Linked DNA regions of Drosophila melanogaster. The protein of the gene in region 1 interacts with the protein of each later gene in a pairwise test. Each region holds a gene or a part of one and is shown in the gene's direction. Other genes may lie near its edges. The genes, in order: Snp, RhoBTB and dati.

The links.
Region 2: the proteins of Snp (region 1) and RhoBTB interact in a two-hybrid assay, tested with the Drosophila melanogaster proteins (one large-scale study listed by BioGRID).
Region 3: the proteins of Snp (region 1) and dati interact in a two-hybrid assay, tested with the Drosophila melanogaster proteins (one large-scale study listed by BioGRID).

What each region holds. Positions count from the first base shown.
Region 1 is NT_033778.4:22,058,596-22,063,376, forward strand, and holds the start of Snp (snipper), read left to right. Parts: upstream 1-2,354; 5' UTR 2,355-2,963; coding exon 2,964-2,986; intron 2,987-4,781. Other genes in the region: CG13501 (uncharacterized protein), read right to left, coding at 600-1,264, 1,317-1,466, 1,517-1,599, 1,664-1,910, 1,969-2,065. UniProt on the Drosophila melanogaster protein: A broad-specificity exonuclease, capable of degrading both structure-specific DNA and RNA targets without sequence specificity in vitro. Requires two to five unpaired nucleotides in the 3' region for efficient binding and nuclease activity.
Region 2 is NT_037436.4:20,374,344-20,379,124, forward strand, and holds the start of RhoBTB (Rho-related BTB domain containing), read left to right. Parts: upstream 1-1,898; 5' UTR 1,899-2,258; intron 2,259-3,398; exon of another isoform or gene 3,399-3,496; intron 3,497-4,087; 5' UTR 4,088-4,116; coding exon 4,117-4,305; intron 4,306-4,368; coding exon 4,369-4,472; intron 4,473-4,538; coding exon 4,539-4,736; intron 4,737-4,781. Other genes in the region: Ide (insulin degrading metalloproteinase), read right to left, coding at 19-221, 272-500, 556-826, 884-1,018, 1,077-1,144.
Region 3 is NC_004353.4:393,202-397,982, reverse strand, and holds the start of dati (datilografo), read left to right. Parts: upstream 1-2,377; 5' UTR 2,378-4,121; intron 4,122-4,572; exon of another isoform or gene 4,573-4,720; intron 4,721-4,781.

The sequences.
Region 1 (4,781 bases):
GAAAGGAACCGCAAACTGCGGTCGCTGTGGCTTCTCTGGTCAGTGGTCGTTACTTTTGCACTCTTGTTGTTATTTTTGCGGTGCTTGTCCTGCCAGCACCGCATCCTGGCATCCTTGCATACTTACATCCTTTTCGCCTTGCAGAGTGCCACTGCTCATTATTGTCGGCAATGTCCAGGCATCGGAAATTGGAAAAGTTTCCTGCCTTCGTGACAATCCACACTTTCGCTCACACGTTCTATGAATATTCAATGCAGTCATAGATTATATTCAATTGATATAATGACGTAAATAATAGTTGACAGGGTCAAGTACAGGATGAATTTATTTTTAAGAGATTTATAAATAAACATCAAACGAAATGCTCGAGAGTTGCTAAATATTTACTACAATTTACAATGTTTTGCTAAACAGCAAAGCTCTCTCTCTCCCTCTCTTTGCCATTTCTGCCCCTCTTTTAACCGTTTTCTCTTTGGGACATCAGCAGGGGTGCTTTTGAAACGGTTTGGATTTATCTGAGCGGTTGAAAGTGGGGAAAAGCGATGTTTTCCATGTAACAAACAATACGGTTCAAATGAATATAACTACAACCGTGAGATTTAACTACTATCGGCAATATCCCGACGCAACCAATCGACCAAAGCATCACGGGCGCATTCCGCATCAGCATCCAGGCAGAACAACTTGCAGATGTCCTGCAGCCAGTTGCCAATGATGTAGCGCTTAATGCACGGCATTACACCCAACTCCCGAAACACTTTAAGGCAATAAATTTGCAGGCGGGGATTATCCGTCGTCGAAGTCATGAGACGACCCACATAACACGGCAGTTGGGTGAACTCCCTGCTGCGCCACAATGCCCGCTTGCTATGGAGCCCATTGAGCAGGGCCAAAGCCGTATATTCCCAGTTCTCCACCTTCTGGCGAGGCAGCAACATTCGCGGATTCTCATCGGGCTGGGCAAAGACGTCGTAAAGCAGCTTTACACCATCCACGGCATCGAAACGCCGCTGACCCTCAGCACAGCAGAGTAGCAGCGCAAATGCCTTGGTGTTCATGTCCCAGAAGTTGGACAAGCGGTTTAGGATCCTCGAGTGCAGCAGCTCGAAGAGGCCCAGCTCGATGCCCCGATCGGGTGCCACTTCCAGCATGTCACACAGGTGATGCCACAAATGCAACGGGAATTGCGGACGGCATGGATCCTGTCTGAAGATCTCGGCTAAGGCGGAAAAGTTTTCAGGATCCTCCAGGAATATACCCAGAACTAGGAAAAAATATAACACCGTTAAATCCAATGAAGTGCATGCAGAGCTCACCTTTTGGCTTGCATGTCAAATTTCGCAATATCTCTGAAGCCAATTCATCCTTAATAGGCTCTTGGTTCTTAATGATTTTATAAAACTCCACCCTTAAGCACTTGCGGTTGGCTATATTTTCGGCTCCATCCAAATTGCGGGATAGTATATCTTTAAGAAATAAAAGCTTATTCTAAGAATTCACACAACCTTCAACTTACTATAAATCCTTAGATACATCTCCACCTCCCGGTGCTCCTCCTTGTGATGCTTCAATCTCATACGCATAAAGGCATTCTTCAACCTATTGGTAGGATAGAAACTGGATGATATCAAAAAAAAAAAACTCCTCAATGCAGACAACCCACTTTCTAACAAGGTCCATTTCAATGATAGCTCTTTGGGCATTCAGTGGATTTAGAACGAATTCCGACAACGATACGACTGCCTTCCAATGGGTCAGCCTAACATCACTATCCAGTTCTTTGAGCAATTTGGGCAGTGCAAACCAGCCGTAGGCCAGTTCAGCACGATCCGCCAGGTGCGTCGAGGTCGAATTGCAGCAGAGCGGCATACACTTGCAAATATTCCGTTTCTCCATATGATGCGTCCACTCTGTAATCCATTTTTTTTATGATTATCCTTCGCTGATTATATATCGCAACTAAATTACCCGTAGTCTGCAAGCTGTTTATGGAGGTCGGCTTCATCACATCCTTGATTTCGTGTTGCAGAAAGTGATTGCGATATCTCGCTAGCTGCTCCCACATTTTGGTTTAATGGTTTGTTGTTATTATAATGAGAAAATACAATACGTGTCAAATGCCAGAACTTTTTTCAAAAATCAACTTCTATTCTACGTTTCAACTTAACATTTCTGTTAGGAAAACTATGTTTCTGTACTGTAAAGCGCCATTGCGGCTGAGAACGTAACCCAATTGGTTGGAAGCTCAACTGCGTGTTGAATATTATGAAAAGGTTCGAAGCTCGGATGCAACAGCTGTTCGTCGCCTGAAATCGATATATCGCAATTTGGTTGATATATTTCGCCGATTCAATGCCGCTGCATTTGTGAACGGACGCCGAGCGAGTTACTACCGAATATTAGATGCGGACTGCAAGCGCAGCTATACGAGAATATACCGACAGGCACGCAAAATATGCAAATACCAGGAGTGCATCTCTATTGACCGGTCAAATACTCGGCTTGGCGGATAGTGCATTTGCAGTTGCAATTTCATCAATCGCCAAATGCACTTGACTGAAAGGCTGTACAAAAAAACAAAGAGAAAAAACCCAGTGTGCGTGCGGGAATATGTAAAAAAAAAACGAGTTAAATAAATAGCTAAATAACAAGCAGAAAGCAGAACGTAAGTATCGAAAAAGCGCAGTGTTTTTGTTGTGCCGGCTGAAATAAATTCGATTGTGTGCGCGCGCGTTTGTTTGTGTGTCGGCATGTGCGTGTGAGTGAGCAGACAACAAAAGGAATTCGGCTCGCTCAACTTCTTCCTAGTTTACCGTTACTTGCACTGCCAAAATCGCAAAAAATAAGGGGAATAGGGAGATAAATAAATAAGCCGACGAATTTCGAATAGCATAAATAGTAGCTCCTGCCAAAAAAAAAAAGAAGAAAAATCAGAGAAACGTCAGTCAAATCGAAAAACAGAAATGGCCTTGATAAAACTAGCAAGGTGAGTTTTTATTCTGTTTTCTCGCTAATATTACCTATAAAGTATGTGTATAGGAATTTTCCCGTTGAAAGTTGTAGTCCACCTTCTCTTTCTTTGCTTTTCCACTTAACAAACCGCAATTAAGTTGGCCAGGGGCGGAGTTTCCACCGAAAGGGGGTTTTTCCAGCACTTGCCCACGTAAATTGATTTTCTGTGGCCCCGTCATCCTGTCGTGCTGACCTGAACTGACCCCATTTTTCATTTCCATTTTCCGACAAAAGAACAAAGTCCGCAGCCTGAAAAATCCGGCCCTGGCCTTTTTTTTTTATTGTTGCCTCTTGGTCAACAGCAAAGCGCTTGAGGCCGTGTAATAACTTTCGGGCAAATATTTATTTCCCAGCAACGAGTTGTTGATATTGAAGTTGGTCAATGCACTTTGGCGCCCCTGAAACGCACTTCAAATATCGCTAAGTGTAATCAGGGACTCGGAAAAACGATGATAACAATAATTAAGCATATTGCAGAATCGTAGATATACATACAATTATATTTATGTATTTCAATTGTATGATAATATGATATACTTAATACCAGTACATTTACATTTACAAAAATAAACATCCTTGTGCTTAGATCCAAATTAATTTCGCATGAAATATTTTCGAAATCTTCATAATACCAGTTTCGCAACCAGATTAAACTACTTTTTAGAACACACAACGAACAATCGAATCTAATTTGAACAAGATCAATTCATAAACTTAAGAACACAGCGAACGTAGGATTATGATAATCTGAATTTCAAATGAACTGCTAATAATAGGAAAACTTACGTGAGGTCTGTGCAATTAATTCTGTTATTGTCTAACAACTAACAATGTATTTGTTTACCTTCTCGATTTCGTTTGTTGACTTTTCCAGCATGTACAACAACTAAACAAACTAGCTATCTGGCTATCGAATTTCCAACGCCATTATATCCACTATCCCCTTCACTATAGACTCCGATATTTATTTATTTGCTGTTTACGTTCGCAAAAAAAAAACCAAACAGTCGCAAATCACACATGATTAAATTAATCAAGCGGCGCACAGGCGTTAAGTTTGCGATCAGTTGATTGATGGCCCGCTGACTGATTGGCCGCGTGCTCAGCAATCAGAATTGGGACTATCCCATACGCCACATACACTTTGCCCGGAGGATCCGAGCTGCACTTGCTGCACTGTGAGTGCCCCACTTCTAATGGTCCGCACATAGTTGGAGCAGTGATTCACCTGACCCATTCCCTGGAAGGGGTTCGGTGGTCCAAAAATAACTCCCAGCCTTTCAGCAATTGAGATCAGAGTTGCTGGGACACGGACTTTGGTAATTGAGTGTAATTGGAAGTGAACACGAGACCACTCACTCCAATCCCCAGATCTCGGTGGCCAGATGACGGATGACAGGCCCAGTGGAAGCTGCAAAAGTGCAGCAGATTGCATCCACAAAGAATGTGTCTGTATCGCGGCCCGATGGCCCCAATATGTCCTCGCCTGACCTGCTAGTTCAATTTGCACATGAAACATACAGTATGTATTCTTCGAGTACCACCACCTCATATATGCATGTTTATATATATATATATATATATATATATATATATATTCATATTTATATGGCTGTGCAGTGGAAACTTTTGTGGACTACAATGAGAATGCAATAAAACTAAAACGGGAGGCTGCATTGATAAAGCGAGTAATCTATATGACGACATGGTCTCGAGTTACTCTGTAAATAGCACCCTGCGCACATGGAGCGTATTTACATACCACATAT
Region 2 (4,781 bases), on another chromosome or scaffold:
GTGGTACCTTAAACTTACGCCTGACTTGTAGAACTGCGTCAAATCGTCTGTGGTAAAGCTTATCGTCAGCGATCGGATGTCTTTGATAGGCACTATTTTCACCTTTTGTCCATAGCGCTCCTCGGCGTAGGGGTGGCGTGGCCAACCTGGAACCTTGACGTTTTTGTTCTCTATTTCGGAGAACTTCTCCAATACCATGCCCTCCAGTTCGTCCAGCGATTCTGTCAGAGATTGATTACTTGCTGGCAGAAACGGCTATACTAAAACAAACCTTTTCCAATGACAGCCAGGCACATTATGTTGGCGGAGTACCACTGCTTGTGAAACTTTAGCAGCTCATCCCGCACATCAATGTTCTTGGACTTGGGTATTTCGGATAGGGTGGTCTTGTTGCCGCTGCCGAACTTGCTGTAGGCATGGTCAGGCTTTGCCAGGTGGCGGTTCACCTGCTTGATGCGCCACAGATCGCTGGGCAGGTTTTTCTCGTGCTCAGAGTTTACCTGCAATGACAGCGTCCTATTTCTGTCAGAAATTTTAATGAATGCTTTCACATACCGCATTGATTTCCCGCTCAGTTGCACTGGGCGTGAACAAGGGGGCTATGAAGAACTGCGCGAAGCGATCTAAGGCTCCATCTAACTTGTCCGGCGCCACGTGAAAGTGGTACTTGGTCATCAGGGGATAGGTGGCGGCGTTGCTGCTTCCGCCGCTCTGCGAAAGGTATGTGGTGTAGCCATTCTCATGCGGATACTTCTCGGTGCCGAGGAACAGCATGTGCTCGCAAAAGTGGGCCAATCCAGGCAGGTTCGTGGGATCAGACATGTGGCTGCCATGGGTATACTCATTAAAAACAAACATTGAGTGAAGATTTGATCTTATTTACCCCACTTGCACGGACAGCGCTGCCGCCGAGACATCTGTGTTGGGATCGCTGATGAGCAGGACCTTTAGTCCATTTTCTAGTTGCAATCCGCGGTAGTCGCGTGTGTCCTGCAGCGACTTTTCAATGTTGTTCAGCCTATAAACGACGAACCATTGCCTTTCGACGACCTCTAAGATGCGTAACGTGCACTTACCTCAATATGGGCTCCATGCTGTCTGGCTTCCTAGTTGCGGACTTTTGCGAGCTTTCGGCTATTGTCATCTTGGGTTTTATAAGCGTGCCAATCGTTCGATGTGTTACTGAAATGCTGGCCCTCAACGCACTTGACCTGTGCGAAATAAATGCGATTTAGTGGTGCCCGTTAGCGGAAATTTGTTTAATTGCTGCCAACCGTCGACCAAAAACCGCTGTTAAGGCAAAAATCGATTTTCTGCACGTAAGATACATTGAGTTTGTGAAATACTCTTGACGACGCTACTCCGGCTTTACGTAGCGCGCACAAGAAATCTTAGAGTGGGAGGAGTAGATTTCCAAGCCGGTCGGTTACACGTTCAATCAATTTTAATCGCTTTTTGGACCGAAAAATAAATTCTAACTAGTTTCGCAACAACTAAAATAGCAAACAATCATCTGTTCGCAGAGCTGCCAACTCACCGCGCACGCAGAACTAGTTTAATATGTTGCCAGATCGTTTATTTTGTGAGTGGTTCCAGATTTGAAATTCCCAATTGGAGAAATTTTACAAAGTGGTAGGCCATATTTTCAAATACGAAAGACTTAATAAGTTTAAAGTGATGATTTTTAATAGTTCTAATGTAACTTTGGACTAAAGTAAGCTGCATATTCACCTTACCTAGGATAGATGGCGATTTCAAAATGTATTTCAAATGCTTGAAATTTTTCCAACGACCATACAATAAATATTGGGCAACCCTGATAACAGTCATTATAAAAATAAATATTCCGTGAATTCCCGTTCTCCGTCAATCTGGCAGTGCTCCGCGCCCAACCGCCGCCGTTTTCCAACACTGGCCGGTTGCCGTCAAAGCGCGTAGAAGAATTGCGGGCTGTAACTGCAATTTATTATTTTTTAATTTCATTTATAGTGCACCTGGTCAGCGAGCACTGGCTCATCCGCAGCCATCCGTCGGCAACCAGCTCGCAGCGATGTTAAACTTGTGCCAGCCGTAAAGATTTCGCGTGTTTGCGAACCACAAACTGCGTCGCCATCGGTGTGTGGGTGCAGAAATAAATGCAAATTGTTGTAAAATGCCGTGCTTTGGTGTGCGTGTTGATAAGTGCAATACGCAAAAGTAAGAACATTGAGGCAAATCCGTGCAATTCGTGCAATCCGTGGGATCAGGCGTTTTCAGAGGTGAGTGCTGCAGTGCTACGTCCGCGGAGATTTATGAGTTCGGGAATTCTGTGCTCTCCCCTTCGGCCAGCAGTCGAAGAATTAGGTTCTAATCAGGTTTTAATTGTTTACCCACCAACATGCGTTTTCCTCGAGAAAAAGTGCAAGTGTTCAACGATTTTTCTCCCCTAAATGGGTCAAGTTTGCCGGAATGTCGAGTCCGAACTTCAAGATCCCCTCCTAAAAGTCCCTTCTGTGCCTCCTTGTGTGCGAGTCTGAATGTGTGTGTGGTTTGGTAACGGTATTTGTGGCCGTTTTGCAATGGCACGAGAAAATCAATAAGCTGGCAAAATTGAAGAAAGGAGACTTCCCAGACATGGCAAAACAGCGCAGAGTTTGTTAATAATGCTAATATGCTGGCGTGTTCTGCGAATTCTCGCGAATCAAAATGTCTAATTAAACCACAGGTTCACACCTCGCATGAGAAATAAATTGGAACCAGTCCCTAAATAAACTTTGTTTTTATTTCCCAAGATTATGGTTGGTGCAAATATTTTACAATGAAAACTAAGAACATACCTTTTAAAAACTAAAAAATACGATCTTTCCATTTTCAAAATACCTGATATCTTCAAAAACTAACAGTTGTTTACCTTCACAACGTCTTCTTTCTTTGTTTCTTTGTTTTTGCTTCACTTTGCTTAAGACTGGGCACTTAAATAATATATTTTAAAAATATTTCTACAAGGAAATAATAAAAATAAAAACGGTATTTTATAGTAGTTATATCAGACATTAATTTTTCAATATTTGAAGAATATTCTTCCCTCTTTAACCTTCATAAAGTCAATTCAAATGGCTCTAAATAGATTGAACACATAAATTATAGAAAATCAAAGCAAAAGTGGAACCGATTGCCATGTATTCCAGAGGTCAACGATCCACAATATTGACAGTAACTTAAAGTCTTCGCACGAACAAAAGACTTTCCTGTGGAGAACAACGATCGCTTCTGGCGACCACTTGAAGTACTTTCAATTGCATGGTTATTGTTTTGGGTTTAAAGCGCGTCCCAAAATAGACAGACTGCAGCTCGTCGAGAAGATCGGACAATGGATTGCCATGAAGCGTGGGCCACGCAGGAAGAAGTGTGCTCATTGCGACCGGAGGATTGAAGGCAGATATATTTTTAGTGCAGCCCAATTAAGTTCAATTAGAGGTTCAAAGAGAGAGAGCGAGCTTATCGCTCCGTATCCGAGGTACTTACTCCAACTTCCTCCGCGACAAGTGGATCAAGTGGGGGTCAATGAATTGGCTGGTTTTATAGCCTCCGTTTGCGGGATCCAATAGATTTCTAAGTAAATGATACGAAGCTGGTATCTGATTTCACTATAGTTATTTTCACAGTGCGCAGCGAGTAAACAAACAAAATTGCCTATTGGCGTAGATCAGTTATTCTGGCTTTACGTATAACTGAACGTAGAAGTGAATTTTCCCAGTGCGTAGATTATTTCAAACTATGTATTTCTATTTTGGGAAGCACTTAGGTATCTAGATTAAAATCAAATTAATCACGTGATGAAACCATTTTGCCTTCACACAAAACGTTAATGCAGACGACACTTTGTGTAACTTAGTAATTAGCAGGTCGATTGTTAGTCGAGAATTTAGCATCTGCTTATCAGAACTGAAAAACATTAAGGCAGCTATTCTACGTAGTTCACTTATTTATATTAGAAGGGGTGTCAGCAGTTTATTTTATTTTCAATATTTTCATTTATGTATGTTTTCCTCAGGAGAGACCACATTTTATTAAATCACACAAAAATCCAATACTATTTTCATTTCAGATTCCATAAGCTGGTTCTGCTATTTGTGCATGCCCAAAATGGACAACGAGCAGCCGCATCAAGAGCTAGTGAAGTGCGTCCTGGTGGGGGACACGGCCGTGGGCAAGACGCGACTGATCTGCGCGAGGGCCTGCAACAAACACGTCTCGCTATCTCAGCTCCTCTCTACGCACGTGCCGACCGTGTGGGCCATTGACCAGTATCGCATATATAAGGATGTGGGTTACCATTCTCTCAAGAGTCATAGTTATTGCATTTAACCGAATCCATATACATTAAAGGTACTCGAGCGATCATGGGAGGTGGTCGATGGAGTGAATGTCTCACTTCGCCTATGGGACACATTTGGTGACCACGACAAGGATCGGCGCTTCGCATACGGCAGGTGTGTAGAGCTCATGTAGCAGCATTTTCGCCATACGAATCAATAAGATGCCTTCTTGACCTACAGATCCGATGTGGTGCTGCTGTGCTTTTCCATTGCCAGTCCGATTTCCCTGCGCAACTGCAAGATGATGTGGTATCCGGAAATTCGCCGCTTTTGTCCGGATGTTCCCGTCATTCTAGTTGGCTGCAAGAACGACCTGCGCTACATGTATCGCGACGAGAACTATCTCTCGTATTTCGGCGAGAAGGGAACCTTTGTTCGGTATGCATAGCTAGCAGGTTTCAGCCGGTTTTGAGTGGCTTTCAC
Region 3 (4,781 bases), on another chromosome or scaffold:
CGAACCCGCACCAATTATGAGTTTACCATGCATGTGCACACAAAACACACACTCAACATGCAACACATACATATGCTAAAGTGCATTTGGTACACTCAGTATACAGTTTCTAAAGTAAAGATACATAGGCCTGCATTATATTATACCCTAAAAACTTTTGGCTCGAGACCGCTACTTTTATTAAGATAACTTAGTACTGCTAAGTTAGACTATGCCAAGAAAGAAAAGTATTAGTGGTCCGAAGGTCGGCTTATCTCTTTTGCATTGCACTGCTGGACATCTTGAAAAACTAGCCATCATTTTTATATTTGCTTGAGAGTTAGGATGCTAAAAGGAAAGCTAAAAGTGTTTCCGTACTATCAGGACAGTTTGAGGTAAGCGTGACCGGGTTTGACGTGCGTAATTGAGCCAACCTAACAACACGTTTTCTGAGCACAAGTTCTCAGCTTAACCAATTGAGTCAAGTGAGTTTGAACATTTGGTATGCTCGGTCTGTCCTTGTATTTAGCTGTACACTGTAAGCCCATTTTTAAGACCGCGGGACCCTAGGTTTTGCCTAAAGCTCATGCGTAGCTGTCGACCGATTGAACCTTAGATTATGTAGATATGTATGCGGATTGACTAGTTGTATTTAGACTGACTTGATAGAATTTCGGGTTTATGATCTCTTTTATGAGATGATGTGAATGCGACTTCATGGTAGCCTTGTCTACTATCTCACCAAAAGGCGTCAAAGTCCTCTTCGATCACTATCCAAGATAGCAGCCAAATACCAAAAGATACTATGTACTATACTATAAGGTATTTATCAATCATGTACGACTGCTGTAAAATATATCTATGGGAATAGCACATAATTTTCAACAAAAAAATAGTGGGTTTCCTGTAATTTTTTTTTACTGAGCATGTGTATACTTTTAAAACAATATTCAAATTTGCAAGAAGATATTTATGTACATACATATACCCTAGGTATCCGCTTTTTTCCACGCCACGAATTGTTGCGAATGCATGCATGTATGTGTGTACATAAATAAATATAATATTAAAGAAAATCGATAGAGGTCGATTCCCACAGACCAAAGCACAGACCAAAATCGATTGAGCAGCAGAGGTGGCGGCTAACGTTACCTAAATATGTACATATGTATATGCTGCAGCATACACGGCTGCACATTCATTTTGAAAAGGTAGGGTTCAATAGTGTTTTCCGGATGCCTATGTGCTTTGCGAGCCGCCCACTTGATTGTGTACGTGTTTGTACATAAGAACTTCACATAAGCATTAAAATGCATACTGCCGCACCGTGACGAAGACCAGAAATGCAGCCATATCGCACATACATGCACAAGTGCAGCGCAAAACTCGAGCTAGACAGAAACAGTTGGCTGGCTGTCCGGCGGCGGAAGGGAGATGGCTGAACGTGGACAGAAACAGGAGCTGGGCAGGGGTAGTAACAGGGCCAGGAGGTGCCAGAGAGGCCTTGAAGTAGACATTAAATCATGCACAAATTTGCATTCCACCGACCAGAACGGACTGTGCTGTGGTTGCAGCAAGACAGCAGGGAGGAGGTCGGTTTGCTGGGTGGTTGCAGTGGTCATCACGCTGCAACGCTGCCATAAGGGATGTTACTGCGGAAGTGCAGCGCTGACGGGACCCGACGACCAACGACGAGTGCAACAGCCCCCCTCCGCCTGCTTGTTTGAGAGTTATCAGTTGGAGAGGGCGGCGTAGGGGATGATGCAACGAAAACGCATATGAAAGCGGCATGGGCCAGACATACATATATGTTGTACACTGTACGCACACAGACTCACGTGGAGTGAATGGGCGCTGGGCAACAATAGCATGCAGCTTAATACACTTGAAAAAAAGACCAGAAAGCCATATCCCGCGCCTTAGACGGAGAAGGGAACGGGCAGGGCTAGACAGAGACTAGAGGCCTCATCAGGTCATCCCTACAAGGTGTAATTGAGGAGCAATAAGAATATCAATAAGCTCTCCGAGCTTAAGAATTGTAATTCAGGAATTGGTGCTTTATTGAAATTTTTTTATTCAATTTTTTTTTGAGTGTAGAGCTGCAACTGCAAATGCTGAAACAACTGCCACTGCAACTGCAGTTACCAACAGCGCCGGCGCTGGCACAGGTTCCCTGTCCGAGTGCAAGGATCTGAATCCACATCCGCCGCTTTCGCTGTTGTTGTCGCTCCCGCTGCTGTCACTTTTTGTTTAACACACAATTTTTATCTTATAATAAGCACACCGCTGCTGCCAGCTATTTCCCCAATTCGGCACCCGGCTGTCTCCATCCCAGTCTCCAGCTTGGGAAGCAACGTATGCCGAGGCGATGATTTTTATTCTCAATTATTTTGGATGCGGCATTCAGAAACGCAATATTCCATGGAGTAGAACAACCGACTGCGGATCGTCCTGACCTCGCGGATCATTTTTATTTTATCAAATGTGCTTAAACCAGATATAAAATGATTGTGGACTGTGCTAAAAACTAAAAACTAACCAAATAATAGAGTTGTTTGATAAAAAAAAAAAAACAAAGCACAAATGAATTGCTTGGCAATGCTTACTTGGACGATTTCATTTGTGTTTTACTGAATTCAGATGAAAATATGAAAACAATATTTCTTTTAATTTAATTTCAGATCATCATAATTTTAACAAACACAATAGACCAAAAATCGTTTTTAACAATAAAGAAGAATCCGTAACTAAACGATCAAATCGACAAACCTAACTCAACCCAGCCATCTTTCAGTTTTAAACGCAATAGAACAGATGCATTAATTAACTAAGTTTTCTACACCTATTACCAAAAAGGAAGAACCACATCAACATTAACTTCATCACCAATCCGAAAAATAACATCTAAACCAATATAACCTAACATAAAAACAGACCAACGAGAAAACCCATTTAAAAATTACTTTTTAGACAAATGAAAAATATAATTTACAACAAAATTGAAATCAAAAGTACAAAACGACATTAATGAATGCGCAAAAGAATTATAAATTTAATACAATATAAAACTGTATGTTTTAGTAACGATTACGTGAAGATTTAAGTCCAAACTAGGCTACTAATCGAAAATATGATTACGTGAAGATTTAAGTCCAAACTAGGCTACTAATCGAAAATATGATTTATATGATTTACACAAATGTGTACATAACCATATAGTCATTTAAATTGCATATATAGTCTCTTAATACTAATTTAAACAGTATATAATAAAACATTTAGATTTTCTACAGCTACAAAATACACTCCCTGAATGATTACCGAAGACACACTGACACCGGAACAGACAGTTTGAACTATCACATACCCTACAGCTAGCCCTAGCATAACCATACGTAACTATACACCAAGTCGCTTATTATTTTTTAATGATAAGAGCAATACTCAAAAAATAATAGTATAGATACATGATTAAGCGTGAAGAGATAGTGGTTATTATAGTAAACAGTACGTAAAATAGTATATAAAATTAAAGATATTGCTACTATAAATAATCAAAATATCATTCTTCGGTAATATAATGGACGATATTTTAAACTAAATATTCGTTTAAGTTACAAATGTGAACCTCGAATTATTTTAAAATTGGAATATATCATATTATATTTTTATATGTATATTAAATTATGAGACGTCACAATGCGTACATATGTAGGTATTTCCGAACAATACAAATCTGGGCATCAAAATAGTAGATCGTATCGGGTAACAAATTGTGATTCAAACGTTTACAAAATTTTTAAATTTATATGTAAACAAATTCAAATAGAAACTGCATCAATCTAACTCCATGTTTTGGGATAAATAGGCGATAAATGAATTTTATAACCAATATATCGCGACACCGTAACGTGTGCCTTATTCCGGCCTTAAGTTTAAATGACTTTTAATAATACATCAAAAACCTAATTCAAGTATATATTAAGCCCACGGACATTCAACTGCAAAGCCGTCGCACGTAAAAAGTCAATAGGATATAGGATTTTCTAATATAGGACCATTACCTGATTGGTATGCCGCCCATCACCTGCGACGTAACCGTCATCGTACTGTAATCGCCTGAGAATATGTTTGTTTTCAAGGTAATTATTGATCCTAACTTCCATGTTAATATCGAATCCCTACAGTCACAATGGCGATCATACCTTATATACACACATATATAAACATATGCGTGCATATATATACATACGTGTAACAAGAACAAAGTTTCCGTTTTCCGGCTTGACCGTTATTCCGAGGTGGCACGATTTGGCAACTAAGAGCCATTCCAAAGAGAGCATTATTATCCGCTGAGCAAAGATGCTGTTTCTTGGTAAACCCGAAGACGGGACGAAGATATTTTGCCGAAGGCCTTAGAGCTGAGTCCTGAAACGAAGACGTTTGGCTTACTTTGCGCCAGCGACGATGGCGACAGCGATGACTCGACTTCAGGCCGACTCCACTTTGCGTGCAAGTTCTATTTCTAAACGAGACGTGTCTGAACCCCCAGCAACAGTCATATTTATACTTGTCCGAGGCGGCGGCCAAATTAGTTTTTCTATGACTCGCGGGCCGCCAGGTTATCTGTAGTTGTTTGCTGGGAGCGACTTCCAAGTCTCAGCCGTAATCGTAACCGTAATCGAGGCCGTGCATATAGACAGTCACTGTATTCTTCCAACAAAAAAAACCTCGTAAAGAGGTAAAAGCAACCGAAATACGCACCAAACCACCAATTATACAAATGGCAGCAAGATAACATT